Linked DNA regions of Oryctolagus cuniculus. The protein of the gene in region 5 binds, or shares a complex with, the protein of the main gene of each other region. Links are inferred from orthologs where the notes say so. Each region holds a gene or a part of one and is shown on either strand. Other genes may lie near its edges.

Evidence for each region.
Region 1: TAF1B (region 5) and TAF1C share a complex: the UniProt entries of both Homo sapiens proteins name them as parts of the transcription factor SL1/TIF-IB complex. The link is inferred for Oryctolagus cuniculus from reciprocal best matches to the Homo sapiens genes TAF1B and TAF1C.
Region 2: TAF1B (region 5) and TAF1A share a complex: the UniProt entries of both Homo sapiens proteins name them as parts of the transcription factor SL1/TIF-IB complex. The link is inferred for Oryctolagus cuniculus from reciprocal best matches to the Homo sapiens genes TAF1B and TAF1A.
Region 3: TAF1B (region 5) and POLR2H share a complex: the UniProt entries of both Homo sapiens proteins name them as parts of the pol I pre-initiation complex. The link is inferred for Oryctolagus cuniculus from reciprocal best matches to the Homo sapiens genes TAF1B and POLR2H.
Region 4: TAF1B (region 5) and POLR1H share a complex: the UniProt entries of both Homo sapiens proteins name them as parts of the pol I pre-initiation complex. The link is inferred for Oryctolagus cuniculus from reciprocal best matches to the Homo sapiens genes TAF1B and POLR1H.
Region 6: TAF1B (region 5) and POLR1C share a complex: the UniProt entries of both Homo sapiens proteins name them as parts of the pol I pre-initiation complex. The link is inferred for Oryctolagus cuniculus from reciprocal best matches to the Homo sapiens genes TAF1B and POLR1C.
Region 7: TAF1B (region 5) and UBTF share a complex: the UniProt entries of both Homo sapiens proteins name them as parts of the pol I pre-initiation complex. The link is inferred for Oryctolagus cuniculus from reciprocal best matches to the Homo sapiens genes TAF1B and UBTF.

The regions. Positions count from the first base shown.
Region 1 is NC_091449.1:65,912,849-65,916,348, forward strand, and holds part of TAF1C (TATA box-binding protein-associated factor RNA polymerase I subunit C), read right to left. Parts: coding exon 2,995-3,500; 3' UTR 2,227-2,994; coding exon of another isoform or gene 2,132-2,226; 3' UTR 1,479-2,131; coding exon of another isoform or gene 1,154-1,478; 3' UTR 354-1,153; coding exon of another isoform or gene 300-353; 3' UTR 1-299. Other genes in the region: DNAAF1 (dynein axonemal assembly factor 1), read left to right, coding at 300-353, 1,154-1,478, 2,132-2,226. UniProt on the Homo sapiens protein: Component of the transcription factor SL1/TIF-IB complex, which is involved in the assembly of the PIC (pre-initiation complex) during RNA polymerase I-dependent transcription.
Region 2 is NC_091444.1:36,957,311-36,960,810, reverse strand, and holds part of TAF1A (TATA box-binding protein-associated factor RNA polymerase I subunit A), read left to right. Parts: intron 1-3; coding exon 4-117; intron 118-3,500. UniProt on the Homo sapiens protein: Component of the transcription factor SL1/TIF-IB complex, which is involved in the assembly of the PIC (pre-initiation complex) during RNA polymerase I-dependent transcription.
Region 3 is NC_091435.1:93,931,982-93,936,031, reverse strand, and holds the start of POLR2H (DNA-directed RNA polymerases I, II, and III subunit RPABC3), read right to left. Parts: upstream 2,801-4,050; 5' UTR 2,290-2,800; coding exon 2,217-2,289; intron 170-2,216; coding exon 86-169; intron 3-85; coding exon 1-2. UniProt on the Homo sapiens protein: DNA-dependent RNA polymerase catalyzes the transcription of DNA into RNA using the four ribonucleoside triphosphates as substrates.
Region 4 is NC_091436.1:140,424,720-140,428,758, reverse strand, and holds the start of POLR1H (DNA-directed RNA polymerase I subunit RPA12), read left to right. Parts: upstream 1-1,239; 5' UTR 1,240-1,429; exon of another isoform or gene 1,430-1,465; intron 1,466-1,549; 5' UTR 1,550-1,569; coding exon 1,570-1,705; intron 1,706-1,882; coding exon 1,883-1,983; intron 1,984-2,145; coding exon 2,146-2,255; intron 2,256-4,039. UniProt on the Homo sapiens protein: Core component of RNA polymerase I (Pol I), a DNA-dependent RNA polymerase which synthesizes ribosomal RNA precursors using the four ribonucleoside triphosphates as substrates. Can mediate Pol I proofreading of the nascent RNA transcript.
Region 5 is NC_091433.1:192,313,895-192,318,150, forward strand, and holds the end of TAF1B (TATA box-binding protein-associated factor RNA polymerase I subunit B), read right to left. Parts: intron 1,311-4,256; coding exon 1,109-1,310; 3' UTR 501-1,108; downstream 1-500. UniProt on the Homo sapiens protein: Component of RNA polymerase I core factor complex that acts as a GTF2B/TFIIB-like factor and plays a key role in multiple steps during transcription initiation such as pre-initiation complex (PIC) assembly and postpolymerase recruitment events in polymerase I (Pol I) transcription.
Region 6 is NC_091436.1:126,548,517-126,552,698, reverse strand, and holds the start of POLR1C (DNA-directed RNA polymerases I and III subunit RPAC1), read left to right. Parts: upstream 1-1,382; 5' UTR 1,383-1,443; coding exon 1,444-1,512; exon of another isoform or gene 1,513-1,543; intron 1,544-1,623; coding exon 1,624-1,695; intron 1,696-1,992; exon of another isoform or gene 1,993-2,059; coding exon of another isoform or gene 2,060-2,140; intron 2,141-2,883; coding exon 2,884-2,991; intron 2,992-3,200; coding exon 3,201-3,333; intron 3,334-3,555; coding exon 3,556-3,675; intron 3,676-3,757; coding exon 3,758-3,910; intron 3,911-4,064; coding exon 4,065-4,182. Other genes in the region: protein YIPF3, read right to left, coding at 66-172, 345-542, 1,055-1,135. UniProt on the Homo sapiens protein: DNA-dependent RNA polymerase catalyzes the transcription of DNA into RNA using the four ribonucleoside triphosphates as substrates.
Region 7 is NC_091448.1:19,038,556-19,042,758, reverse strand, and holds the start of UBTF (nucleolar transcription factor 1), read right to left. Parts: upstream 2,801-4,203; 5' UTR 2,556-2,800; intron 1,992-2,555; exon of another isoform or gene 1,862-1,991; intron 1,543-1,861; exon of another isoform or gene 1,404-1,542; intron 341-1,403; coding exon of another isoform or gene 1-340. Other genes in the region: basic salivary proline-rich protein 2-like, read left to right, coding at 1-340. UniProt on the Homo sapiens protein: Recognizes the ribosomal RNA gene promoter and activates transcription mediated by RNA polymerase I (Pol I) through cooperative interactions with the transcription factor SL1/TIF-IB complex.

The DNA.
Region 1 (3,500 bases), on a different chromosome or scaffold from region 5:
GGTCACCTTTGCCCAGGTGCCTCCAGCTTGGGTGCCCTGTGGCCCCGTGGTGAAGTGGCCGTGACGAGGACATGGGACTCCCTCGGCCATGGCATACCTCGCAGATTCTCCCTGTCGTTCGATGCTGACACACACTTGCCGCCAGTGCTTGCTGCCGGGGTGGGGGAGAGGGCCCCTTGCTCTGTTAACAAAACCCTTGGTTATCATGTTTGTATTTCTGCTCCTCCCAATGGGGCTGTGTGTCCGTGTGCACTGTGGCTCACTGACACGCTGCTCTCCGTGACAATCGGCTCTTTCAGGACCTCCCTGATTTGGAAGACACCGACGACCCAGGAGACTCTCTGGAAGGCCAGGTAAGGTTATCCGTGCACCCGGCCCCTCCACCCTGACTCTCACTTGCGTTCTTGTCATTTACAAGGCCTGAGGGGTCTGCCAATCCGTGGGAAGTGAATTCCGGGATGTTCGCTCATGTTGAAATGCAGTTTTTTCCTACAGCACGTTTCCCATGAACTGGTCAGGACCTCTCGCGCACCCCGGCCCTCGGAGTAACTTGCTCCTGGTGGGACAGCAGGGCTCCCGACAGGGGGAAGCGCAGCGGCTTGTCTTGCTCGTTCTCCCACTTGGGGGTTCTGGCTGAGCTACAGGACTGGGCCCTGGATGCAGCTACCCGACATGCTGGGTCTGCGTGCATCTCACCAGTGTCTGCACAGAGCTGTAGAGGGAAGAGGCAGACGGAGCTGGGGGCTCCTCCCCACGGCACCCCCAGAGCCCACGGTGCCACATCCTGCCCAAGGGAGAGGGCATGCAAGAGGTCATCTTTGTATCAGCTCCCCACCCCCAGGCCCGGAGCTGAACAAAGCTGGGTTAAGAGGTGTGGCGGCAGAGGCCCGGCTCAGGGACCCTGGAGGCAGAAGAGTAGGCAGGGGGAGCGCGGCACCGAGGCCCAGAAAGGGTGGAGAGGTGCACAGACCCTGGCCGCAGGGCTCTGTGAAAATGCAGCTGGGCCTGGCCATGCTGAGGCCAGACTCCCAAAGGGCCAAGTCCTGTGGTCCCCTGGGCCTTCCTTGCAGGTGACAATGGAAAGCATAACTGGAGTAGCACACCTAGAGCCACCGTACTGAAAAGGTTCCAACACTGCCGTCCTGTCCGACAGGGAACGTGCGTCCCGAGGGTCCAGGCCATCTCCAGCCTGAGCGAGGACAGTGACCCGGAGCTGGAGCGCCCGCCCACAGACACCCTCTCCAGCATCTTTGCGGTCTCCAAGGCCATCTCCGAGAAGGCCGAGACGCCATTCACAGACACGCTCAGGATACAAGCAAAGTCCCCGGATGTCCGAACTGCAGTCGCCAAGCCGGCGCGACCGCTGATTGAAGAGCTGCCAAACAGCCCCTGGCCAACCCCCGCCAGCAGCGGAGACGCCACGCCCCCTCCCTGCAGGGAGGGCGGGGACAGCACCCCCTGCATGGCCTCTCCCTCAGGTGATGCCGCCCCACCTGGGAGGCAGGCAGGGATGGCCTTCTAGACCTTTGCTCCCAGAATCCATGTTCTGGGGGTCACCGGTGACCAAGTGGCCTGAGACTCCAGATCACCTTCCCCAGTCCAGGCGTCTGAGGCCACCCCTGGGGCCAAGCAGCCACCAGGGTGGGCGGGCAGCCCCTGCAGTCACAGGGACTCAGCCGTCCTGGGCTCCGCGGGGCTGGGGAAGCTTTTCTGCCCGCCCTCCCCCCCAGACCTGGCTCTGAGGGAGCAAGGGGACCAGATGCTGTGGCTGGCAGTGGGGGACACACCTTGGGTGGCAGCTGGCACAGGGGCATGGCTGCTCTCCAGACCCCTGGGACGGCGTGACACTGTCTGACGTCCCACACAGGGAGTGTGCAGAGACCTGAGGGGTGGCACACACTGCTACCCTCACTCTGGGGCTGGGGGACAGTTGGTGGGGAGTGGCAGCAAGCGGGCTGGGCTGTGCCTTGGTCAGCTGCTGCTGGATGGGCGTGCAGGCTGCGGTGGCAATGTCGACCTCACACAGGGGTGTTTTCCTGAGACACCTGGCACTCCAGACCTGCACGCGGGACCAGCTGGGGGCTGGCCGCCTGGCAAGAACACCCACAGGCATTCTCTCTGAACTCTTTAGGGGACACAATGGAAAAGAAGGAACCACGGTCTGAAACAGAGCCCAAGTTGAGGGTGGGGGCAGGCCAGGAGGACATCGAATTCGGCTTGGACTGAACGGCTCCGTGTCAAGCCCTCCCCCCAGCTCTCCCTCCCCAGAGCATCTCTGGGGTTCCCCGCTCGCCCCCTCAGCCCTGGCTGCGGGGCTGCGTCGTGCAGCGTGTGCTCAGAGCGTCCGTCCGCCCACTGCGCTGTGTGCCTGTCCGTGCCTCCTTGCGCATAAACACCTTCACATCCACCCAAGTCAGTCTGTTACTAACGCTTACACACAACTGGTCTCGTCAGCTGCCCTCTGAACCTGTGCGTTCCAGCCTACGACAGGGCCTGCGGCCTGCAGGGCTGCCCGTGGGAGAGCAGAGTCCTGCACAGAGCGGGAGCAGCTCGGACGCGAGGCCTCACACACCCGATGCCAGAAGCCCGGTCTAAGGAAGAAGTACCTCATTTTATCGGTCCCTGAACCATCAGCCAGCACCGCCCGAGCAAAGCGACAGGTCACCTGGGGGGCTGGGGACACACCCCCAGCGCCGCTCACCGCCACTGCGGTGCTGCCAGGCACGTGCAGCTGAGGGGTCTCCCCACTCCTGAACACGCTGAGGGGCTGGCGCTGCTGGCCCATGCACCCCCAACGACAGGGAGCCCCGCTTTCTCGAACCACCTCCTGGAGGGAGTCCTCCCAACTGGCCTTCTGCAGTTACCTGCAGGCTAACGGGAGGACACCCAAGGCGCCATTTCCCCGCTCCAAGCCGCGCTGGGCCCTCCTGTGGAAGGCCCCGCCGGCCCTGCCGTGAGGACCAGGGCTCTGGAGGCCCCAGCCTCGCCGTGCCCTCAGAAGCCCATGCGAGGCCTCTTGCGCTGGGGCTGGGAGCCAGCGAGGGCAGGAGCGCGCTGCCGGGAGGGGGCGGCCCGGGAGGGGGGCGTGGCGGCCTCCTGGAGTGACGGCTCGGTGGCGTAGCTCCGGAGGCTCTGCCGCCGCTCCGAGGGGACGCCCTGAACGCCGGCCTCCTGAGTCGACTCCTGGGAGGCTGAGGGCACTGGGGCCCGAGGCCTGGCCTCAGGGCACGTCCTGTCCGGGCTGTGCGGGGGGCTGTTGGCATCGGAGAGGTCCAGGCGGCCGCTGAGCGAGAAGGTGCTGGAGAGCTGGGTGCGGCGCTTGGCCCGCCTGGGCTGCCTGCTGAGCCCCGAGGTCCTGCCCTGCCGCCTCTCCCACCAGGCGGCCCCTCGGCCTTCCCAGGCCTCCCCAAGGCGCTCACTGAGCTCGTCCTCCGGGCCCGACTCCGGCGCCGGGGGCGGCTCTGCGGCGGGGAGCGAACCCACATCCTTGTGCTGCAGGA
Region 2 (3,500 bases), on a different chromosome or scaffold from region 5:
CAGATTATTTGGAAGCTTGGAAGTGAAATTCTGTTTTATCATCCCAAAAGCAATGTGGAGACTTTCAACACCTTTGCTGACCGGATGAAAAATATTGGCGTCTTGAATTATTTAAAGGTGAGGTTGTTGGTTTTGTGAATTTACGTTTTCAGTGTATCGGTAATAAGGAGATAATAATGCAGAGAGCATGGGACCAAAGGTGAGACATGTGGATAAAGAAGGGGAACTGGAAGAAACCATTGTGAGAACCATATGTCTTGGTTTCTGGTCCCTGTCTTGTTGTCTGACTGAAGATCCTTCTCTTTGTGCCTTTGGCTGCCAGACACCAGCCCTTCAGGGATTGCAGTTGTGCTTCATTGTGATGATGGGCCACATTCTCATGTTTGCAAGCATTTGTTTTTATTTTCCTTTTGGGAGGCAGAGAGAGAAAGAGGAAGACTGACTGACAGATCTTTCATTTGCATATCTTTATCTGCAAATGCCTGTAACAGCATAGGCTGGGTCAGGCTGAAGCCAAGAGCCTGGACCTCAATCCAGGTCTCCTTTGTGGATGGCTGGGACCCATGTGCTATAGCCATTCCCTGCTGCCTCCCAGAGTGCATATTGGCAGAAAGCTGGTGGGAAGCAGAGATGAGACGTGAACTCAGACACTGCAGTATGGGAAGTGGGCATCCCAAGCAGCTGCTTAACTGCCGTACCATATGCCTGCTCCCTAATAAAAGTCTTATCCAAAAGGAGACATTTCCAGAATATATATCTCTCTCCCTCTCTGTGGTATAGTTTTTGACTAAAAATTTTTTAATAAAGTTTTAAAAGATATGTAATTTTTAATTTTTTTTCTCAGTGACCATAGAGTTTCATTGGAATACAGTTACATTCATTAATTTCCAAATTGTCAGTAGCTACTTCTTTTTTTTTAAAGAAAGATTGATTTATTTATTTGAAAGGCAGAGTTACAGAGAGAAAGGGAGCAATGGAGAGAGATCTTCCATCCACTGGTTCATTCCCTAAATGGCTGCAACAGCCAGGCCTGGGCCAGGAGCCAGGAGCTTCATCTGGGTATCCCACATGAGTGCAGGGTCCCTAATACTTGGGCCATCTTCTGCTGCTTTTCCTAGGCACATTAGCAGAGAGCTCAGTCTGAAGTAGAGCAGCCAGGAATTGAACCAGCCATGCCACAGCCACAACACTGGCTCTACCAGTAACTACTCTTTCATGACAATGATGGAGTTGAATAATTGTGACAAAAACTAGTTAGCCTGCAAAGCCTAAAATATTTACTCTCTGGCTCTTTTTAAATTTTTTTTTTTTTTTACTTTTTTTATTTTCAAAAACTTTTATTGTCATAAAATATACATAACATAAATGATTTTTAACCATTATAAAAATATTTATTTACTTGAAAGGTGGAATTACAGGAAGGGAGATGGAGAGGCAGAGAAAGAGAGCCAAAGAGAAATCTTCCGTCCTCTAATTTGCTCCCCAAATGCCCGCAATGACTAGGGCCGGACCAGGCCGAAACCAGGAGCTTCTTCCTGGCACAGGGACCTGAGTACTTAGTCCATCTTTCGCTGCTTTCCCAGGCACATGAGCAGGGAGTGGGATCGGAAGTAGGGCAGCCAGGACTTGAACTAGTGCACATATGGGATTTTGCCCTGCAGGTAGTGGCTTAACTTTCCGTACCACAGCACCGGCCCCAATTTTAGCCATTTTTAAATGTACAATTCAGTGGCATTAGTTATATACACAGTTTTCTACCAAGATTACCGCTAGTCCCGAAACTTTCCATCACCCCAAACAGAAACTATGTACTCAGTAACAGCAACTCCCCATTCTCTTCTCCCCCAGCTCCTGGTAACCTCCAGCCTGTTTTTGGTCTCTGATTTTGCCTATTCTAGATATAAATGGAGTCATGTACCATTTGTCCTTTGGTGTCTGACTTATTTCACTTAGCATAATATTTTCAAGATTTATCTGTGTTGTGGCATGTATCAGAACTTTTGCTTTTTCTATGACTGGATAGTATTCAGTTTCCTATCACGTTGTGTTTCTCCATGTAACTGTTGTGTTGTTTTCAGATATGGCTGTTGTAAATCATACTTCAATGAACATTGGCTTGAAATTATCTGTTTCAGTCACCATTTTCAGTTCTTTTGGGTCCATCCCTATGTTTAATGTTTTTAAAGATTTATTTATTTACTTATTTATTTGAAAGTCAGAGTTACACAGAGAGAGGCAGAGAGAGAGAGAGAAAGAGAAAGAGAGGTCTTCCATCCAATGGTTCACTCCTCAATTGGCTGCAACGGCCAGAGCTGCGCTGATCTGAAGCCAGGAGCCAGGAGCTTCTTCCGGGTCTCCCACATGGGTACAGGGGCCCAAGTACTTGGGCTATCTTCTGCTTTCCCAGGCCATAGCAGAGAGCTGGATCTGAAGTGGAGCAGCCGGGTCTCGAACCGGCACCCATATGGGATGCTGGCACTTCAGGCCAGGGCATTAACCTGTGCCACAATGCTGGCCCCACATTTTTCAAGAATTGCTAAATGGTTGTCTACTGTGGCTGCACCTATTTATATAAATACTGCTTTCTAATTTTGAAAATGAATTTTCGCAGTTTAGGATTCTTTTTTAGATCTTAATTAATTTAGAAAAAAATTTCTGAGTATGAATAGTTTTGTGCCAGATGCTCTCTGACAAGTGGAAATTGAGTAGAGGCAGCTTATGGTTCCATGTAAGGAAGAGACTTCGAGCTGAACAAGTTGGGAAAGGAAAGGCCTGCCTTAATGGGCGCTCTCCTCTCTTTCCAGGAAGAAACTGGGTAGCTGTTTGATTGGAAAGGGAGCGTGGAGTTTTAACTAACCAATTGGCCAGGCTTCTTTTGGTGCATGGAATCTACTCAGTTCAAGTAAAGAAACTGGAAGGAAATCTCATTTCTTCCACACCCAAGAGTGATAATTAGAATAAGCAGAAAGCCACTGCAGTTTTTCAGGCAATGTGCTGTAGAAGGGACAGGCATTTAAATGGAAAAAAGTGTTATGGGTACCACGGTAGAGAATGCAGCATGCAGTAAAAAGGTGAAGGAGAAGTGGTTGTCTTTGGAATTGGAGAGGGCTGGGATTGATGAATAGGGGGACCAGGAAAAGGTAGGACGTGATGTGTGAGATGAGTTTGAAACAGCGAGTGGGGTTCAATAGGCAGACTAAGGAAAGGGTGCTCTGGCGTGGCAGGGGTGACAGAGATTCGATAGCCCCGTGTCCCATGCTCTAGTTACTCTGAAAATTACTTGAATGGAAGCCAGAGGAAGTAGGCTGGGCACTGTGTGCCATACTTAGGGAGCTTGGGGTTTATTCTGCAGACAGTGTGAACCGTTGGGGGCTTTTACAGAAACGAGTAACAAAATGGGATTTCTTTGGTAATTGCATGGATGATGGATTGTAGGGGGGCAAGAAGGGAGAGGTTAGTTGAGAAATAATTGCAGTAGTTTGAGATGGGGACCTTGAACT
Region 3 (4,050 bases), on a different chromosome or scaffold from region 5:
ACCTGAAAACAGCAGCAATATCTGGGCGTAAAGAATAGCTGAGACGGCAAGAAGCCTCTGTTGATTCTCTGGGTTCAATACTTACCCAGGTCCACAGGGTAAATCTGAATGTTTACATCTAAGATGAGGTCCATCTTGAAAGATTCGCTCTCACAGTGCAGTCGAGACACTGGGGAGAAGCAGAGAGACGGACGATGTAATTACCAGGGCAAAGGCAGATCTGACAGATCCCAGTTTGGGAATTACAGGCAATCGACTATTTAATGTAACCTGATCTACATCCACTGGCCTCTTATGTGCTCTCACAGAAGTGCAGGCACAGGGCATATTGGGTAAAGCCGCCACCTGCAGCACTGGCATCCCAAATGAGTGCTGGTTCGAGTCCCTGCTGCTCTACTTCTGATCCAGCTCTCTGCTATGGCCTGGGAAGGCAGAAGATGGTCCAAGTCCTTGGGCTCCTGCACTCATGTGGGAGACCTGGAAGAAGCTCCTGGCTTCGGATCAGCCCAGCCCATGCCATTGCAACCATTTGGGGGAATGAATCAGCAGATGGAAGACCTCTCTTTCTCTCTGCCTCTGCCTCTCTGTAACTCTGCCTTTCAAACAAGTAAGTAAATCTTAAAAAAAAAAAAAAAAAAAAAAAAGTGCAGGCACTGCAGTGCAGTGGGCAGAGCTGCTGTGTACGAGGTGGGCATTCTGTATCAGAGCACCAGTTGGAAGAGGCTGCTTTGCTTCTGATCCAGCTCCCAGATCACTTTGGCTTCACCCAGCCCCAGGCACTGAGGCCACCTGGGGAGTGAAGCAGTGGATGGAAGACCTCTTTCACTGTCTCTCCCTATCTCTGTCTTTCAAATAAATAAAACAAACCTTAAAAAAAAGAGAGAGAGAGAGAGAGAAATGCAGGCTCGCTCAGAACCAGATATGCATGGAGGACAAAAACCATGGCAGGGGCCAGCGATTGTGGATTAGTGGGCAAAGCCCCACCTGCAGTGCTGGCATCCCATATGGGTGCCGGTTCAAGTCCCAGCTGCTCCACTTCCAATCCCTGCTAATGCACCCGGGAAAGCAGAAGAGGATGGCCCAGGTCCTTGGGCCCCTGCACCCACGTGGGAGACCTGGAAGAAGCTCCAGGAGCCTGGCTTCAGATCAGTGCAGCTCCGGCCATTGTGGCCATCTGGGCAGTGAACCAACGGATTAAAGACCCCTCTCTCTCTCTGTAATTCTGCCTTTCATATAAATAAATAAGTCTTTAAAAATTAATAATTGGGGCTGGCACTATGGCGCAGTGGGTTGACGCCCTGACCTAAGGCGCCGGCATCCCATATGGGTGCCAGTTCATATCCTGGCTGCTCCACTTCCAACCCAACTCTCTGCTGTGGCCTGGGAAAGCAGTAGAGGATAGCCCAAGTCCTTGGGCCCCTGCACCGTGTGGGAGACCTGGAAGAAGCTCCTGGCTCCTGGCTTCAGATCAGCACAGCTCCAGCCGTTGTGGCCATCTGGGGAGTGAACCAAAGGATGGAAGACCTTTCTCTGTCTCTACCTCTCTCTCTTTCAAATAAATAAAATTAATCTTTAAAAAATAATAATAATTTTTTAAAAAAGCATGGCAAATGAATGGAATCCTGCCCCCAAATCAAAATATTCTAGCAGCAAAAGACAGAGTTCTAGGCACTACCTGGGTGATTTAGAACCTGGGTCTGGGCAAGGGACTTCTTCAACCAAAGGTGTCCTCTCCCATGCTAAGGGGATTATCTCACTGAATAACTGAGACTTGAAAAACACCTCGGGCGCCTGGCCTGCACCGCGCAGTTAACTCAGAGGGTCTGACATCAGCTGGAGACTCGACTCCACACAAGAATTCGGGCTCATAAGTCAGACTGACCACGGTGCAGCCTTGGGTGGCAAACTTACCCTCCAGGAGGAGAGGAAGGCACCACCTACCTCCTGGGAACTCTCGAGAGCACTAAATAAGGCAAAATGTGTGTAAGTGAGAGGCGACTGCAGAGACGTCCAGGAGCCTGCCACCACCATGGCACTGGGCACCGCGTGTGTGCAGCCAGGGAGAGCTCGGCGTCTCGGCTTTCTCATCCATAAAAGGTCTCCTGGGAGAGGCCCCTACATCAGGACCTGCCGCAAGGGCAGGCCACGTGAGCCGGAGCCCAGGGGTGTGTCCCGAGGAAGTTAGTTTCTTCGGCCAAACCCCACACCTTACCTACCTCGGTCAAACTTCTTGCCTTCCGGGTCAATGTCTTTCACATCGAAAATGTCCTCAAACAGGATGCCCGCCATCGTGAGGGGGCCACGAGAGCAGCGGAAACGCGAGGAGCGAGACCACAACTACGAGTTAGCCCACTCTCGCGTGGAAAAAGAAGACACTAGAGCAAAAGGCGCCTGAACGCTGGCGGCAGAGCAGCAGGAAAGCGCATGCGCACCAGCTTGCAGTACGGCAGCCACTTCCGCCGCCTCCACCTCGGGGATTCTCAACTTCCGCCCCGATAGATTGCTGGCGAGGGAACACGCATTGAGGGCGTGTCTCCGAGCCAGGTGACTCCGCCCAGGGCGGGAACGCCCCAAGCACCACCTCTGGCGGAGGTGGCTCGGGTTATCGCGCTCCGCTGGGGCTCCGCTTCGCCCTCTCCAGAGTCCGGGCCCTGAAGCCTGGAATGCTTGGAGACTTAACCCAGGCCGAGACCTTGATCTTTGCCCCAGAGAAGCCGGGCCCTAGCCCTACCCTGCCGGTCCTCGTGTCCCCCGAGGGCATAGTCCGCGCCGGGGACGGGTGCAACAAAACTCCGCCCCCAGAGCGCTAGCCCAGCAGGACGTAATGCCTAGTCCCTCAACTGGCACCGAGGGCCCCCAGGTCGGCGGGGGCTGGCTCGGCCCTGCTGGACGTCACCTGAGCCGGGGCCGTCCAGGATATCACTCCGGGGGAAAGGAAAGCTGGCACTGCCCTCCTCTGGCGCTGCACCCTCCCCCCACCACTGCCCTCTTCCCCTGGGCCCTGCTCGCTCCTTCCGCCTGCCACAAATCCCCTCACACTGCCCTACCCGTTAGCAGTGCCCCCTCAGCGTGTGCCGCGTGTTCCCCCAGCACTGCCCTCCTCTTGGATCACTTTCCTGTCTCTTCCTCCCGGGTGCTGGCCCCCTTCTCCCACAACCTCCCTTCCTTGGCCTCCTGCCGCCCTCCTGCACGCCGCGTCTGCGCTCGCTATCTCGAACGCTGCCCGTGCACCCCGTGCTCACCCCACCCTCTGTTCTCTCCTTCCCCGGACCCTGATAGAGAAAGCCAAACCCCAGCAGGCCGTTTCCCCAAGGCGGCGAGACGTCAGCAGCTCCTGGGGTTTTCCTTGGGCCCTGCCAGGAGAAGCGACCTCTGCCCACCCCACCCCACCCCCGACGCCTGCCTTCCAGGCACTAGAACTCCCTTCCCTCGGGCCTTTCTTTCCCAGTCCCCTTGCCCGCAAAATCCGGCGGGTCCGGTATTGCAGGGGCACCTCCTGAGGCTAGCCCCGAGCAAGGGCAGGAGCCCAGAATGGCCCTCCGAATCCCCCGCAGAGGGGCCTTTCCAGGCCCGCCTGGGCCTCCAGTCCTCAGCAGAGAAGGCAGCTGCTCTCACGAATTAGCAGCCCTGCAGCCCCGAGCCCGAAGTCCTAAGCGCCCGGCGGCTCCGGTCCCTCTCCGCCTTGCACGGAGAGCTGTGGACCGGCTCCACGTGCCAGTGGCCCTGCCCCGCCCCGGCCGCGGGCGCCCCTCTCAGTCCTTCTCCGCCGGCAGGCGCGTTCCAGGCGCCCCCTGCCGCCTCTCCGGAGCCTGGGAGGCGGCCCCGTCGCAGACCCTAGCCGGGCTAGGCCGGCCCCTCCGGATGGGCTGGCGGGCGGAGCAGCGCAGAGGGCACCGCCCTCGGCCCGCCCGCCGAGGAGGGGACGGGAGCGGGAGGCCGTGCCAGCGGCGCCCGCCCGGGGCCCGCCGCACTCTGCTCTCGGCCGCCCGGGCTGCGGGGACCGGACGGGGACCGACCGGCGCTGGCTGCGCGGGCGGAGTGCCGAGTCCA
Region 4 (4,039 bases), on a different chromosome or scaffold from region 5:
TGGCTCACTAAGCTAATCCTCTGCCTTGCGGCGTCAGCACACCGGGTTTTAGTCCCGGTCAGGTCGCTGGATTCTGTCCCGGTTGCCCCTCTTCCAGGCCAGCTCTCTGCTGTGGCCAGGGAGTGCAGTGGAGGATGGCCCAAGTGCTTGGGCCCTGCACCCCATGGGAGACCAGGAGAAGTACCTGGCTCCTGCCATCAGATCAGCGTGGTGCACTGGCCACAACGCGCTGGCTGCGGCGGCCATTGGAGGGTGAACCAACAGCAAAAGGAAGACCTTTCTCTCTGTCTCTCTCTCACTGTCCACTCTGCCTGTCAAAAAAAATAAAATAAAATAAATAAATAAAATGACATCCGATTTCATGGTTAAGTGATATTAGGGGCTTGTGATTTCCCCAGCATTTCCTAACTTTTTACTAGGGTTGTCTTTCCTTTATGGCAGGGAAAGACAGACAGGTGCCTCTCTCCCAAGTAAATTCACATCTGTCCTTTAGAAAAGAGATGGCTCCAGAGCTTGCACACGCAGGAGCCCCACAACAGCTACAACTGGATGGTGGTGGGAGGGCTAGAACCAGGAAACTCGTATAGAAACTGTTTCTTCAGGTCAAGTCTAAGCTACTGACGCGTGAAAATGGTGAGGTCTTCTAAAGATCCTTATTCTCATGTTTTATAAACAAGGAGCAACTCAATTAACCACCGACTGGATGACCACGACTGGAGGTGAGGGACCAAGTGGAAGACTGAAAGCCAAACTCGACCCAGGTCTTAGCAACCCCTGCCTACAGGCGTCCCCGGCCTAACGCCAGGTCCCTGTGGTGTCTGATGCCCTCCGAGGTCCTCGGCCCAGGGTCCCTGTGGTGTATGACCCCCTCCGAAGGCCTCGGCCCCCTCCCAGGCGTGCCCCTTCCGTCTTTCCCGTCCGGCCAGCGGAGCCCAGCGAGTCTCAGCACGCTTAGCTACACCCTCTGCTCCGCGAAAAAAGGGCCGCTGGGAACGGCGGGACCTGTACTTTTCTAATCCAACGAACTCTTGTTTTCTGGGGGCCCCCGTGAGTGGGAAGCCAGTGAGTCAGATGCGAGACAAGGAAGAGGAATACCCCACTACTGTGTCCAGGTGGGAAAAGGAGCCGGAGGCGCAGTGCCAGCGACTCGCCTTCCGGTCCACCACCACGAGACCAAACGGCAAGTGACGCAGCAAAACGCGCTCCCAGCCCGTCTGCCCGCCCTAAACCCCCCGCTGTGGCGCGCGAGGAATAGTGACGTCACAGCAAATTGTGCGCCCGGACGCGTCGGCGCTCTAGCCCTCGGCGCGCTCGCTGCCCCGCCGCTTGCGCACGGCCGGCGCTCTAGCCCGCGCTACCCGGCCCCTCTCGCCTGCCCTGGCGGGGTTCCGCGTCGCCGGCTGGTTGCTTGGTGGCCGAGGCCGGAGACGTACGTGGGAGGAGGGGTCGGGTTATCTGTGCCTAGGTGCTGGGGCAGACAAGGGAGGCCCCCTGCGTGGGGAGGGTGCGGCTCTCTGGTGTCCTAACGAACTGGTCGTTCCCTTTCCAGCATTCCGTCGCGTGTCCGTCATGGACGGCGCCAGCACCTGCCCCAGCTTTCAGTCGGACTTGGATTTCTGTCCGGATTGCGGCTCGGTCCTGCCCCTGCCCGGAGCTCAGGATACGGTCGTCTGTACTCGCTGTGGCTTCTCCATCCACGTGCGGGGTGAGGGGCGGGGGCCGGTGCGCGGTTTGGAGACCGGGGAGGGAGAGCCTTAGAGCGGGCGCCTGGACGTCTGGTCTGCGGAAGAACCCTGAGGGAGGCAGGCAGGCCTGGCGGGGGCGAGGCGGCCGTCCGCGCCCTCCGCTGGCCTCCACAGCCGCTTCTTGCTGCCCCGTGCAGACTTCGAAGGGAAGGTCGTGCAGACTTCCTTTGTGTTCCACAAGCTGGGGGCAGCCGTGCCTGCGTCGGCGGAGGAAGGGCCCGAGTTCCAGGGACCCGTGGTGAGTTACTGAGATGGAGGGCTGGCTGCAGAGAGGGGCGTGGAGAGGAAGCGGAGGGGCGAGTGCGGGGTCCGCAGAGTGTTGCACCGACTTCCAGGAAGGCGGAGAGCCTGGGAAGTGAGGGGCGCGCCCCCGCCTCCTAACGCACCCCTTCCCGGCCAGGTTGACAGGCGCTGCTCTCGCTGTGGCCACGAGGGAATGGCGTACCACACCCGGCAGATGCGCTCAGCCGACGAGGGGCAGACCGTCTTCTACACCTGCACCAGCTGCAAGTGGGTCTCCGCTCCCCTCCCTCTGTCTGCGCACTTGACATGTTCAGTGGCGTATTCTTGTACCACACACTTGCTTCCATGATTCCATCCCTAATAGGAAATACTTGTCTTTTGTATATCCAGTGAACTCAACCGTTTACTATTTTGTTTTTTCATTAAAAAACAAGAGAAGGCTGGAGTTGTTCACTGCAGCCAAGGTAGCTTGACCATGGTAAGAATTAGTCACACGGGATTTAAAGAACAGCAGCTTTCTGAATGGTTTGCAGAATTTAGTGTTCTGGTTCCACTAGAATATATCAGAGTGTTGTGGGCCGGCGCTGTGGCGGAGGAGCAGGTTAAGCTGCCGCCTGGGACACCAGCCTGGGTTCATGTCCTGACTGCTGAACTTCCAGTCCCGCTCCCAGCGAATGTGCCTGGGAAAGCAGTAGAAGATGGCCCAAGTTCTAGGGCCCCTGCACCGACGTGGGAGACCTGGAAGAAGCTCCTGACTCCCGGCTTCCTCCTGGTCCAGCCCCAGTATTGCTGCCATTTGGGGAGTGAACCAGTGGATGATCTCTCTGTCTCTCCCTCATTTCTTTTCCCCCCAAGGAAATCTTTTATTTGATAAGTACAAATTTCGTAAGTACAGCTGCAGGAATATAGTGATTCTTCCCACCATACCCACCCCACTCCCAGCCCACCTCCTCCCTCTCCCATTTCCAGTCCCCTGCTCTTGTATCTCCCTCTCTGTAAATCTGCCTTTCAATCAAATTTTTTTAAAAAAAAAATAAAGGATATATCAAAATGTAGCTCGCTTTTGTTTATCCTGTTTGGAATTTTATTGGACTTTCTGAAATGAGAATTGATGTATTTCTCATTAACTTTGAAAAATTACCAGCCATTATCTCATTTAATACTGTCTTTCTCCCATGTTTTTAATTCTCACATACTGGAGTTCTAATTGTTTATTATACTTTCTCCTCATCCTCCCATTTTCCTCACCCTGTCTAAAAATTTATTCAAAAGGCAGAGTTATAGAGAGGCAGAGCCAGAGAGAAGTCTTTCATCATTGGTTCACTCCCCAAATGGCTGCCACAGCCAGAGCTGGGCCAATCCGAAGCCAGGAGCCAGGAGCCTCTTCCTTGTCTCCCACGTAGGTGCAGGAGTCCAAGTACTTAGGCCTTCTACTGCTTTTTTTTTTCCCTTTGCCATAGCAGAAAGCTGGATCGGAAGTGGAGCAGCTGGGACTCGAAGCGGCGCCCATCTGGGATGCCGGCTCTGCAGGCAGCAGCTTTACTTGCTACTCCACAGTGGTGGTGGCCCATCAATCATTTTTTACTTCTCAGTTCCTTAATTGTATTTTAAATCTCTTTTTATTTTTTAAATGTGTATTAGATATATCAAACATGTTTACACCATAGTAGTAGGGGCTTCAGTTTTAACTTACCTGTCTGGATTTATCAGTGTGAAGATGGCCTTTCCTTTCTTGGAATTTACCAGTGGATTAAAAATATTTATGGTCATATATCTTTCCTATATGAGCAGTTTTTAATATTTATAAGGTCCAGTTAAACATTCTTTTTTTCTTTCATGGCTAGTGCCTTTTGTGTTCTAAGACATCTTTGCATACTTTGTCTTAATTCATCTGATTTATTTTTAATCCCAGCATTTTCAGTTGTTGGAGGATTTATTTAGGGGAGCCAGGTCTCCACAGTATCATAAATAAAAGGCCCTTTGAATGTTGGAATATTTCATCTTACATTGCTGGGAACTCCTCTGATCCAGTGTAACAAGTCTTTTTTTTC
Region 5 (4,256 bases):
GCTCAGGCAGTACCCGGGGATGAATAAATGGGCTCTGACAGACGCCTGATTTTCTGATATTCTCAACAGTCATTGTAAACCTGCACAATCTTCGCTAAGCGGTTAGGTGGGAAGTGCATCCATTTCAATTGCTGTTCCATGAATGAGTGGAGTGGATCATTCCACCATGGTTCTCGGCTTGGCCTCTGCCTTTCTGTTTTCCCTGCTCGGTCTTTTCTCTACTGCTTTGCAAGAACTATCGACACACCGAAGAAATCCGCCCTTTGTCCTCCGTATGCTGCAAGCAGTTTCCCTACTTTGGAACCCGCTGTCCTGGGTCAGTCTTTTCCTCTTGGCGTCTGGTCTGAGGCGTGCTGAGAGTCCTTCCCCACACCACGGTCTCTGAAACAGTCACGCTGGTTTTGTTCTAACGCTCTCCTACGTGCACATACGGAAGAGTACTGTTTAGACTGCTGATCCCCCCGGGATTCGTTTGGGGTATAAAGAGTAAGGAAGCAGTCTAGTTCAAAAAAGCAAATTTAATTTTAACTACAACAAACACAAATTTCTAGATACCATTTATATATAAATATATCGCTTTAATTTTCTCAAAAACATTCATATTAATTAAAAAAAAGTTTACACGTCATATCGTATAGCATCCATTGTTAGAAAAGATTTATTATGTGAAAGGCAGAAGGAGGGCACATGGAGAGATCTCGCCCGCCCTCCGGTGCGCGCTCCAAACGGTCCCGGTAGTCAGGCTGAAGCCAGGGGCCTGGACCTCCATCCAGGTCTCTCCTATGGGTGGCGGGGCCCCAATACTTGGGCCACCGTCCTTTGTCTTCACAGGTGCACTAGCAGGGAGACACATCAGAGTGGAGCAGCCAGGCGTGAATGGGCACTCCCAAGTGGGACGCTGGTGTCACACTGCTGGCTTAACCCCCTGCACCCCAACACCAGCCCCCACAGCAAACAACTTTATGAACACATTTGATACCTATGTATGTATGTGTGTGTGTGCACACATGTGATAAAATACACTTCCCACAATCCTCTGCAAAGTGGCATTACAATCTGACACCGCTTAGCACCACTGAAATATCTTTCCAAGTCTCTTCAATTGTTTTCAACGTCTTCTCACTCTTCTGGATCTTGAAGACTCGTTTGAACTCATGTATTTTCTTTTAAAAAGTTTCTTTTCAATTAAGCTCACTTCTTCATGGAGTAAGGAGGCCTTTATTCTCAGCAGGAAGGAGAAGAGATTTAATACAAACTGGTAACTCAGAGAAAAATTAGATTCTTCGTAGGTTGTCACATGTTTACAGTAGCTGGAAGGGGAGAAAAATGAGGAAGTTGTCCTGAAGCTAAGCTGCAAACGCAGTGTCAACTCTGGAACATCTCCCAGGCAGCTTAGAGGGAAACTCAGAACAATGTAGAAAACTCCTTAATTTACAACGGAATGAAGTCTGCACTGTGTCTGGAGACCGCGCATGGGGACACGGTGGACGGGAGCAGGCCTTCCCCGCCCCTGACAGGAAGGACACTGCCCGTTTTCTGAGCATGCTCCAAGCACAGAAAGGCAGGTGGGGAGGACCCTGGACACACGGCTGAGACAGACTCAATCCCTGACGCCACCCATGCACCAGATTCACACTGAGCCTGTGCACTGTGCGAGAGCTGAGAAATGTCACCTGTTCGCAAACAGCAGAACCTGACTCCGATCGAATCTCTATCACCAAACCTCCGCCCAGTGAGAGCCAGCAGTCTCGATCTACATCAAAGCGCAGGCAGCCCAGGGACAGAGAAGCAGGCCAAATGCCATCACGTGACCGTAGTCGGCAAGACCCAGGTTATGGAGAACCCACCAGGACACCTGACCTAGGTAACTCAACGAGCAAATCATAGGGTAAAGAAGAGATTAAGAGGGGGCCTTATCTCTGTCTCTCTGCCTCTGCCTCTTTGTAACTCGGCCTTTCAAATAAATAAATCAATCTTAAAAAAAAAAAAAAAAAAAAAGAGGGGCTGGCGCCGTGGCTCACTTGGCTAATCCTCCGCCTGCGGTGCCGGCATCCCATATGGGTGCTGGATTCTGTCCCAGTTGCTCCTCTTCCGGTCCAGCTCTCTGCTGTGGCCCAGGAGGGCAGTGGAGGATGGCCCAAGTGCTTGGGCCCTGCGTCCGCATGGGAGACCAGGAGAAGCACCTGGCTCCTGGCTTTGGATCAGCGTAGTGTGCCGGCTGTAGCGTCCATTTGGGGGTGAACCAACAGAAGGAAGACTTTTCTCTCTCTCTCTCACTGTCTAACTCTGTCAAATACATTTTTAAAAAATTAAAAAAAAAAAAAAAAGAGGTGGCCTTTACGATAACACTTAAGGAGCGGTCAGCCACTCACAGCAGATAGGCCTTATTTGAATTCTGAGGTGATCACGTGACGGCTGTGAGACACCCCCCCGCCCCCAGCACTGACTGTGTGTTTGATAATACTCAGGAATGACTACTTTTTAAGATCTGATCAGATGTATCACAGTTGGATCAGAAAAAGTACTTTGGTGTTTGTGATGGGCTTCCCAACAGTGCGGCAGTGGAGGCAGGAGGGCCTGGGTGGAGCAGACCCAGCTGTGCTGGGGGGGGGCGCTGGACCGGTCCTTCTACTGGGCTCCCACTGAGCCTGTAAACTGAGTCACTCTGACGAGCACACAGGGTCCTAAGTTCCCGAATGTGTATGTCTGCACCACAGAGCTCTGCCACGTGTCAGCTAGGACCACGGGACAACCGCTCCTGGCTCTCTCACCTGTGAACAGGAACAACCCCAGGACTCACCTCTCAAAGGGTTGACAAAGGATTAAATAAGAATACAGAGGGGCCGCGTGGTGGCGGGCATCCCACACAGGCACTGGCTCAAGCCCTGCCGCTCTACTGCGATCCTTAACGTGATCAAGCGCACGTCAGAGCGTGGCGCTCTCGGCCGTCACAGCACTGGGTCCTCCTGCAGCACTGGGCTCCTGTCCCATCAACTATTTAAGGCGTTCATCTCAGAACTCAAACAAGGCCCGGCTCCTGCGAGTGGCCGACCACTCCTTAAGCGTGTCAGTTCATCAAGGCCTCCTGTAACGCGCCTGGGAAGGCAGCGCAGACGGCTCAAGTGCCTGGGCCCCTGCGCCCGTGGGGGAGACCCAGAAGACGCTCCTGGCTCCTGGCTCCAGTCCAGCTCAGCTCTGGCCGTTGTGACCAATTGGGGATGAACCAGCAGATGAAGGACCTCTCTCTCTCCCCTCCTCCTCCTCCCCCTTCCTCCCCCTTCCTCTCTCCCTCTCTCCCCTGTAACTCTGCTTTTCAAATCTTTTTTTTTTTTTTTTTTTTTTAATAAGAATATAGAGTAAGCACTTAACCCAATGCTTGGCACATAGTAAGAGCTCAAAAATGGTCTCTTCCCGATACTCCTTTAAAATTGACTTTTTGGTTTGTTTTCACTTAAAATCCCAAGGCTATTTCAATAATAAAGCTACTACCCCACACCATGTCACTAGTAGGAAATGTAAAGCCTCAGGTGTTTGTTCACTCATTGGTTTAATCGCCATCTATATAGCATTCTGCCAATATGGCAGTTTCTTGGTCTTCTTTCTAACTTTTTCTAAATGTCAGCTTTATTGAGAATCTTTCTGATAAAAAGTTGTCACAAAAGGGAACAGGTGTATTCTCTCACACAAAGACCACAAGGGCAGTTCTATTTCTACACGAGAAAGACAAGACAATGTATTCTGCTGGTTCACGCCCCAAATGCCTGCAGCAGCCAGGGCGGGGCCAAGGTCAGGTGCCAGGACTCCCGCTGGGGTCTCCCACAAGGCGGCAGGAGCCAGCTGCAGGAAGCTGGACGGGAACAGAGGCAGGGCTCCAACACGGGGCGGCTTCACCTGCTGACCACCATGCCTGCCCCACTCTTACTTCTAAGTGAAATCACTGACAGCTTAGTGTGGATTACGCTCTTTAAAAAGTGTCTACAAGCCGGAGCCGCGTCTACCACACGATGCTGCGTCCGCGCCAACGCCTGCTGCGGGGTCAGCCCCGGGGAGCGCGCGAAGCCCAGGGCTCCAGTGGGCGCAGCACAAGGCCACGGCCTCCTCACAAGCGGCCCTTCACGAGGGCGCTTCGAAAGGCTCATGCAAACACCGAACCAAAAGACGAATGTATTTTGCTGCAAAACATTTTGAAATCCACACTGAATTTCTCCCTAAACGCACTTTCCATGAACTTTAGGTTCAAAAGGTGCTGCGTATGC
Region 6 (4,182 bases), on a different chromosome or scaffold from region 5:
GCGTCAGGAAGGACAGCAGAGCCCAGGGCTGGGTGAGGGACCGGGGCTCAGGAGGTGAGCCTCACCTGCTGCGCACCTGGGCAGGCTCCACATCGAAGTAGGGTCTCAGGATGTCGATGTTGGCATACAAACTGAAGGCTCTGGAAGCTTGTCTCTTCCCGGCCTGCCACATCTGAGCGGAGATGCGGGGATGGCCCGTGAGGCTCCTGGCCCTGGGGTCCTGCTCCCTAGCTTCTGTCGGGGTTCTACTGGGCTCCAACTGGGGCAGCCTGAGGTCAAGGTCACCCACACGACTCCAGATCGCGCAGGTATCCTGCACTTGCCAAGGATTCAGCCCCGCTTACCTGGTCAGCCACCTGCCGGCTCAGCTGCCCCTTAAAGCCCTTCATGCCCAGGAACTCCCCATCCTCCTCTTCCGCAGCGGCCGCGTCGGCGTCCACTTCTTCCTCGCGCAGGCGCTGGTGCAGCTCACCCATGTCCTCGAAGCTGGAGCCCGAGGTGTCATCCATGTTCTCCATGTCAATCACGGCAGAGCCCCCACCCTGTGAAGGCAATGCCTCCTACAGTGCAGGCCTTTCTGGTCCCTGCCCCGCTGCTGGCGCCGCGCCTCCGAATCCCCGCACATCAGGCCACTGTCACCCCTCACTTTCTCTCAGAACCCCCTGGCTGCTGGTTCCGGCGCTCTCCTCTAGCCCGAGAAGCCACCTACTTGTCTTCCGCTCATGCCTTTTCCCCACCTTCCCCATCAAAGGCCCCGAGGGTTTGCAAGGCGCAAGCAAGACCATGCACACAAGATGTTTCTGGCGAGTGCCAGCGAATCCCGCCCACTGCCCCGCTTGACCCCGATTGACCTCCTCTTCTGTCTCTCTTCCTAACGCCTCAGGCGCGTCCAGAGACCCGAGGCCCTCCGGCCGGCACTAGCTTCACTGACTTTCCCGTGCACGAAGACCCAAAGGGGAGAGGAGTGTTGCAAATGGAGGAAGCTTTCGGGCCCCGAGGGAGGCTTCCCCAGACACGTCGGGGTGGCCGGCAGCCGAAGCGCTGGGGCCATTACCTGGATGTTTTCTTCGAACCCGCCCCATTCCGGGCCGGCCCCGTTTCGAGCGCCGCCGGCCGGCGCCGCGGTGGCTGCCATGTCCCTGGAGGGCTCCCGTCCCCGAAGCCAGCGCTAGCCCCGCGCGCGGAGGAAGAGGGGGCAGACGTGGGCCTGAGGCACGGAGACGTCCAGGGCCGAGGACAGGCGCCACCAGCCGGAACGCAAAAAAGAGAAACCCGGATGTTTGGCCCAGACAGACTTCCGGAAGTTGGGGACGTGGACGGAGGCGGGGCAAAGTCTCGCGATACGTCGGGCTCCGGGAGGCGGTGCGTTGCCACGGCGACGGAGGAAAGCCGCTAGAACGCACGCGCAGGCGTGAGGCCTTAGTCTCGTGGGGGAAGTCGAAGATGGCGGCGGCTCAGGCCGTTGAAGAAATGCGGAGCCGCGTGGTTTTAGGGGAGTTCGGAGTTCGGAATGTAAGCCTTGTGGCCTTGAGTTCAGAAGGAAGTATGAGAGGGACGGGTCGGGATCAAAGTGAGGGCGGGCTTGGCTTCGCTGCCTCTTCACGGACGGACCCGTATCTCTAGGTTCATACCACCGACTTCCCCGGGAACTATTCCGGTTATGATGATGCCTGGGATCAGGACCGCTTCGAGAAGGTGCGTGGGGCCGGAGTGTGATCGGAGCAGCCCGGGCTTCCGAGCTGCTCCCAGGGGTCACTCACGTGGCAAAACCAAGTTTGCTCAGCATCCGACCGTGTCCTGGGCGCTCCTTGCACACCGGGCTTCTGCCTTGTTCTGCGATCGAGCTGTTCAGGCCTGTACAGGTCATTCTAGTTGGATGCGGTGACGGCGGCTGAGAGTGGGGGTGGGGCACCCCTCAGAGACGGTCTAGACTGGGGCAGAATCATAGGATTCCCTGAAGGAAGTGACATCTGAGTTTGAGCCCTGAACGGTGAGTGAAGGTCGAGGAGGGAGGAGTAAGCGAGCTAACTTGTAAAGACGGGGTGGGCGTGTCCCTAGAATGTCCGAACCGCGCATTATTGATAGAATGTTACACTGGCCTGACGGCGGGCACTGGGGGTTCTTGAGCAGGCGTGACCAGGTGATCCGGTTTGCAGCTTTGGTGGTTGAGAAGGAGGAGAAGGGGCGGGCAGATCGCTAGGCAGTGCTGGGGGAAGGAGCCCAGGAGTGCTTTGGTGAGAGCGGTCAGGACTTTCTGGCTGTGGGAACTCATCTGACGGCTGGCGGTGCCTGGGCAGTGGGAACGATGACCCATTCGGTTCCCCGCGGTGTGGAGGAGCTAGCAGCCCAGGAGAGCGTTCGACAGAATGTGGGGAGTTGTCCATAGTAGTTGCTAAAACCGTGAGTGTGGTTGATGTCACTTTGGAGAGAGACAAGAAGCTGGGGACCGGTAACACCTAGGTGGTGGGTGGAAGGAGACGCAACTCCTCAGATGGAGGACTGGTGCCCAGACACGGAGGAGATGGGGTTTGAGAAAGGAGTTTTTTTTTTTTTTTTTTTTTTTTTTTTTAATTCAATGCCAAATGTAACATTAGTAAGAAAAGAACTGAGTCCTGTCAGCTGGACTAAACTGTATAGAAGTTTCTGCTCTTCATAGAATAGCTTCTGGCTCAAGCCATATTGCATAGGATTTTCAACTAGTGGCATACAAAACTGGGGGCATTGTTCAAGAAACTAAAAGAACAGAGGAAGAAAACATCAAATGAGGCTTTGCTGGGCAGAGGAAGGCTTCTGGGGGAGCGGGGATGTTCCGTGTCAAGGGGGAGCTGTAGCCAGGTCACACCAAGAGCAGGCTCCATCCACTTGTTTTTCCTTTGCCTCTAGAACTTCCGCGTGGATGTGGTACACATGGATGAAAACTCGCTGGAGTTTGACATGGTGGGAATTGATGCGGCCATTGCCAATGCTTTCCGGCGAATTCTGCTGGCGGAGGTATCAGCGGGGCCGGTGACGGCTGGAGCGTGGGGAAGTGTGCCATCACCTCATCTGTCAGTGTCTCAAGTTGCCCCCCCCCCCCCCCCCCGATTTTGTGGAGTGTTTTGCTTTAAGTTTTTATGAGGCATTCTTCTAGGAGTTGTCCATCTCAGGAGGTGGGGAGTCTGCCGGGTTTTTATAGACGGGTAATCCTGGTCTCTGGGTAGGTGCCCACAATGGCTGTGGAGAAGGTACTGGTGTACAACAACACATCCATCGTGCAGGATGAGATCCTGGCTCACCGCCTGGGGCTCATTCCCATTCATGCTGATCCACGACTGTTTGAATATCGGAACCAAGGTGAGGGCCTGGGAGATGAAGCTGTTGGGGGAAGTGGAACCGCTTTCTTCCTTAGTAGATCCTGGGACCAGCTGCCTGGGTTCGAATCCTGGGTTGACTCTTGTGGCCCTGGGCAAGTGACTCATCATCTGTGGACGAGAGGAGCAGCACACGGGTAGCACTCGGCAGTGTCTACCCTGATGCTCACTGCTGCTGTAAGGGCCGCCTCTTCCCTTTGTGCAGGGGACGACGAGGGCACAGAGATAGACACTCTGCAGTTTCGGCTGCAGGTCAGGTGCACTCGGAACCCCCACGCTGCTAAAGATTCCTCTGACCCCAACGAGCTCTATGTGAATCACAAAGGTTAGTGGGCAAGGAGGGAGGCCTGGCTGCTGGCTGTGGGGGCGTCTCGGGGCTACAGCCCTCTGACTTGTCTTCCCTCCAGTGTACACCAGGCACATGACGTGGGTTCCCCTGGGGAACCAGGCTGACCTCTTCCCTGAGGGCACTATCCGGCCGGTGCACGATGATATCCTCATTGCCCAGCTGCGACCTGGCCAAGAGATTGACCTGCTCATGCACTGTGTCAAGGGCATCGGTGAGACCCGTGGGCCGCCTCAGGTGCAGGGCGTAGCTTAGTCGCCGCAGGAATCCAGGGATGCTCCTGACCGGCAGAAGGCGGTGGGCTTGGGCTTTCGCGCTCAGTGGCTCGGGAGAGGATTCCCCCAGGCTGATCTCTCCCTTCCCTGCAGGCAAGGACCACGCCAAGTTCTCACCAGTGGCGACAGCCAGTTACAGGCTCCTGCCAGACATTACCCTGCTTGCACCCATAGAAGGGGAAGCGGCTGAGGAGCTGAGCCAGTGCTTCTC
Region 7 (4,203 bases), on a different chromosome or scaffold from region 5:
GGCGTCCTCCCCAGTGCCCCGGTCTGCTCGCGTCCAGACCCTGCTCGGAGGCCGCCCCGGGTCTGCGCCGGGGTGTCCGCCGCTCCCGCGGGTCTCTCCCTGGCCGCCCCGGCCCCGACCCCCAGCGCGCGCCCTCAGCCGCCTCGGTTACCCGGCGCAGCGCGACCTCCGGGCTTCCCGCTCCGGCGGCTCCCTCCCCGGCTCTGAGCGGCGGCGCCCTCCCCCGCTCGGCCGGGCACAGCCGCAGCTCCCTCCCGCGGCGGCAGCGGCTCCTCCTCCGGGCGCGGTGGCGGCGCTGGGGCGGCGGCTGCTGCTGCTGCTGTGGCGGCGGCGGCTGTAGCTGCTGCCTGCTGCTCCTCGCGGCGAAAAGCACAAAGCACAGCGCCCTCCGCCTGCAGGCAGCCCGCCCGCCGCCCGCCCGCCGGCCCCGGCCTCAGCTCGCACACCCCCCGCCGCCGCCGCAGCCTCCGCCGCCGGAGCGGGGAGGAGGAGGGAGAAGGGAGGAGGAGGAGCGGGAGGGGGGGCGGGAGAAGCGGGGCAGCGAGCGCGTCCTTCCCCGTAGAGCGCACACCGACCCCCGGGGAGCGAGCGCCAGCCCGCCCGCCTCGCCGGCTCCGCTCCCTCCCACAGCCTGCCCGGGCGGGCTCCGCGGGGGGCAGCTGGGAGGAGGGGCGGGAGCTGGGGGGACCCGGGCGGCCGAGGCGGAGGGAAGGAAGGAGGGGAGGGGGGTGGTGGTAGTGGTGGTGGTGGTGGCGGTGGCGGCGGCGGCGGCTGCTGCTGCTGCTGCCGCCGGGGAGGGGGGGGGGCCGGGGCAGGGAGACACGCAGCCGCCCGGATGGCGGCGGGGCTCGGAGCCGAGGCGGGCGGGCGGGCGGGCGCCGAGAGCGACCTCGCCAGACCCGCGGGGGAACTAGCAGGCTCGGCCGGCGCGGGAGGGAGGGCCGAGGCGCGGCCGCGGAGAGGGTGCCCGGAGGGCCCCCCGGCGGCCGAAGAGGCTCGGGGGTGCCCGCAGTGCAGCCCCGGACCTCTCCTCCACGGCCTCCCAGCCCAGATCCGGCCTTCCAAGCCGGCCCTCTCCCGCCTCCCGGCGCGGGCGGTTCGCGCCCACCTTCCCCAGAGCGTGGCTACTCGCTCGGGGTGCCGATCGCGGTGCCAAGCTTCGGCGCCTACTTCGCCGCCGAACGGCACACGCGAAACTCGAAAAGCAAAATATCCTTGCCAAGGGGGAAAAAGAAATTCCCTTCGCTCCTTACACCCAGGAAGCGGCGAGGAGCCACGGTGGGAGCCGGTTCAATCCAGCCCGGCATGGCTCCCCAGGCCTGCCTGGGCGCATGGAGATCGGCGGCGCGGCCGCTCGGAGCAACCCCTCTCCCCCGAAATCCGTGGCGCCGGGGCTCACTTACCGAGCGTGTGGATGGGAGCGCGGGCCGGGGACACCTGGGGGCGCGGCGGGCCGGAGAGCCGAGCCGCAGCTCCGCCGCAGCCGACTCCGGGGCAGCGAGTCGCCAGACAAAGCCCGAGATGGCGAAGCGGAGCGACGGCTAATGGCGAGCCCCACGCGCCGCGCTCCGCCCGCCCCGCTCCGCCCGCCCGCCTCGGCGCAGCGCAGCGCCGCTCCGAGCGCTCGCCCGTCAGAGCCGCCTCGGCGCCGCCGCCTCCCGGGCCACCGCGGCCTCGCCTGGCCCCTCCGCCTCCTCCGGGTGGCTCAGCCTCACCCCTTCCCTCCCACCGCTCTCGGGGCTGCGCGAAAATTGGGGGGAAAAAAAGGAAAAAAATTTTTTTCCTCTTTTTTTTTTTTTTTTTTTTTTGCAGGGCGGGAGTGCGGAGACTTTGGGTCTTTTTGCCCCCAGCTCGCACTCACCTGCGGAGCCGCCGGGAGGGCCGGGGGTGGGGGCGCGCGGGGCTGGAGCCGGCGAGCGCGGGTTGAAAGCCAGCCAAGCTCTGCAGCGCCCGACCCGGGCGTGTACGCCGCCGCCAGTCCCCGCAGAGAAATCGTCCTCCTACCCCCGCCTCCATCGCTCTGCGTTTCTCTTCCAATCAGCCGGTCGCTTGGCGGCTCCTCCATTCTCCGGCCAAGCCCGCTGCCTAGAGCGAGCTCCACTCCTCCATCTGCTCGCCCGGCTCCTCGCTCCCCTGCCGGGGCCGGCGAGGCGCCGTGGGGCGGAGGGGGTTTTGCGAGGGAACCTGCCCGCTCCCCGCTCCCAAGGCTCCGGCCCCGCCGCCGCCCGCCTCCTGCTTCTCTCCTGCGCCTTTCCAACTCTCCCCTGTCGCCACTGGCGTGTGTCTGAGTGTGTGCGCGGTTTTTCTTTTTCTTTTTTCTTTCCTTTTTTTTTTTTTTTTTTTATTGCTCTTTGCTTTTGCAACCCTGAAGCCAAAGCGAGGGGGAAGTAAAGGGGGGGGGGTGTTATAAAAAAAAAAAAAGAAAGAAAAGACAGAAAGAAGCTCTTAGATGAGCCATCTCGGAAGACCGGAGCGGCAGCGCTCCTCGCCCGACCTCCGAGCCCCGCGGGGCCGTCCCGGGTTTGGAGCGAGCCTCCTTCCCAGCGCCCCCCCACCTTCGCCGGGCTGAGGATACGTGGAGTCCGAGCAAAAAGTTCTCCCCTCGGGTCGTCGTGAGGGGTGGCAGGGTGGGAGCTGGGAGGTTTCCAAAGCAGCAGCAGCCGTCTCTCCTACCCGGCTTCGGAAGTGGGCCGGGGTGGGAAGCGAGAGCCAGGTCCCGGCGGGCTTACGCGGAGAGGCTTCCGGGGGCCCAGTCGGTACCGGAGGCCGCGCCGCGCGCATCTCCCCCTCGCTCGCCGCCGCCTGTCCCCTGCCAGCTCCCCCTTTAATTTTTTTTTTCCTCCTCTCCCTTAATCTAATTTCTTCCAACTCCACCTTTGTTGTTACCGGCGTCACGCCCGGACCAGCCAATCCCCGCCACGCAATCAGCTTGTCAAAAAGGCTCGACCAGCCCGGGGAAAGCAGGCCGCGGGCGCTGCCCCCCGGCGGCGGTGGGGAGCCGCGAGGGGCGCCCGGCACCCGGGCCGCGCGGGCCGCGCAGAGCGTCCGGCCTCGGCCTCCGCTGCCGGCGCCGGGGTTGTCCGACTTTGCCTTCTTAGCTCCGGGGAAGTGTTCTCAGGGCAGGACGCAGGGAGCCCGCGGACAGCCGAGGGCGCTGGCTTGCGGCAGGCCGGCCCACGGCTTGGCCCTTCGTCCGGGACAGCGCCATGACGCCTGGCTCCCACCCCGGCCCCGCCGCTGCCCGCGTCTTGTTCCGCTGCGTCCCCGGGCCCCTGTGGGCTCTTGGCTGGCGCGCAGCCTCCCTCCCTCCTCGCACGGGCTCTCCGCCGCGGTAATTCCTCCTGCCTCCTGGGAGAGATGAGATTCCTTTCCCAAGACTCCTGCCACGGTTCTCGCCTCGGGAGGAGGGCGCCGCCGGGATCTGGTGTGTCTGGGTTTTTAGCGGGCAGGACATGAGGAAGATGCAGACTGACCATCATGCGAATGAAGTTGAAGCTTTAAGGCCTGTGCAAGACCTTGGACTTGACTTTGCATCCCGTAGTTGGTTCTTTTTTATTTTTTTGGTTAAAGAGCACTCCGACCTCCACAGTTCACCTGCAGGCCCTCACACTTGATCTGCCTTTGATTCACTCTGGGGACATTTTATGCAGGATCAAGCCATCTCAGGCTGCACCGAAATCGGGGCATGGAACCAGTTGCTATTTCTGACAAAGGCTTTGGGATCAAAAGTCCTAACTTTTTTTTTTAATAGTGTGAGTGTTTGGGCAAGTTTTAACCCCACCTGATCCTAGTTTCCGTATCTGTGGAATGACAACAGCAGCCTCACCAGGCATCCGAGGGTCAATGGGAGAAACCTAGACCCCCAAGAAGGTTCCAGATCTGCCACACGCAGGTCTGGAGTCCAGGTGTCTTGGCTCCTGGCCCTGAACTTCTTGGCTGGGTCAAGGGGCTTTTCGGTAAAGTGCTTCGGAATAAAGCAGGATGAACGTGAATCATAAGAATGCTTGTTATTGATTCCTTGGGCAGCAGAACTGCTGGCGCCCTTCCCATTTGGAGAGCGACTGGCTTGGGTCGCACCCATCACAGCTCTGGTGCGGTCAGGAGCCGAGGACTTGGGCTGTGGGCCAGCACACCAGGGAATTTGCCCTTGGCCCTTTCTCTCTGCCCCCCTTTGCCTGTTCGTCTCCTCCTCTCTTCTCGTTT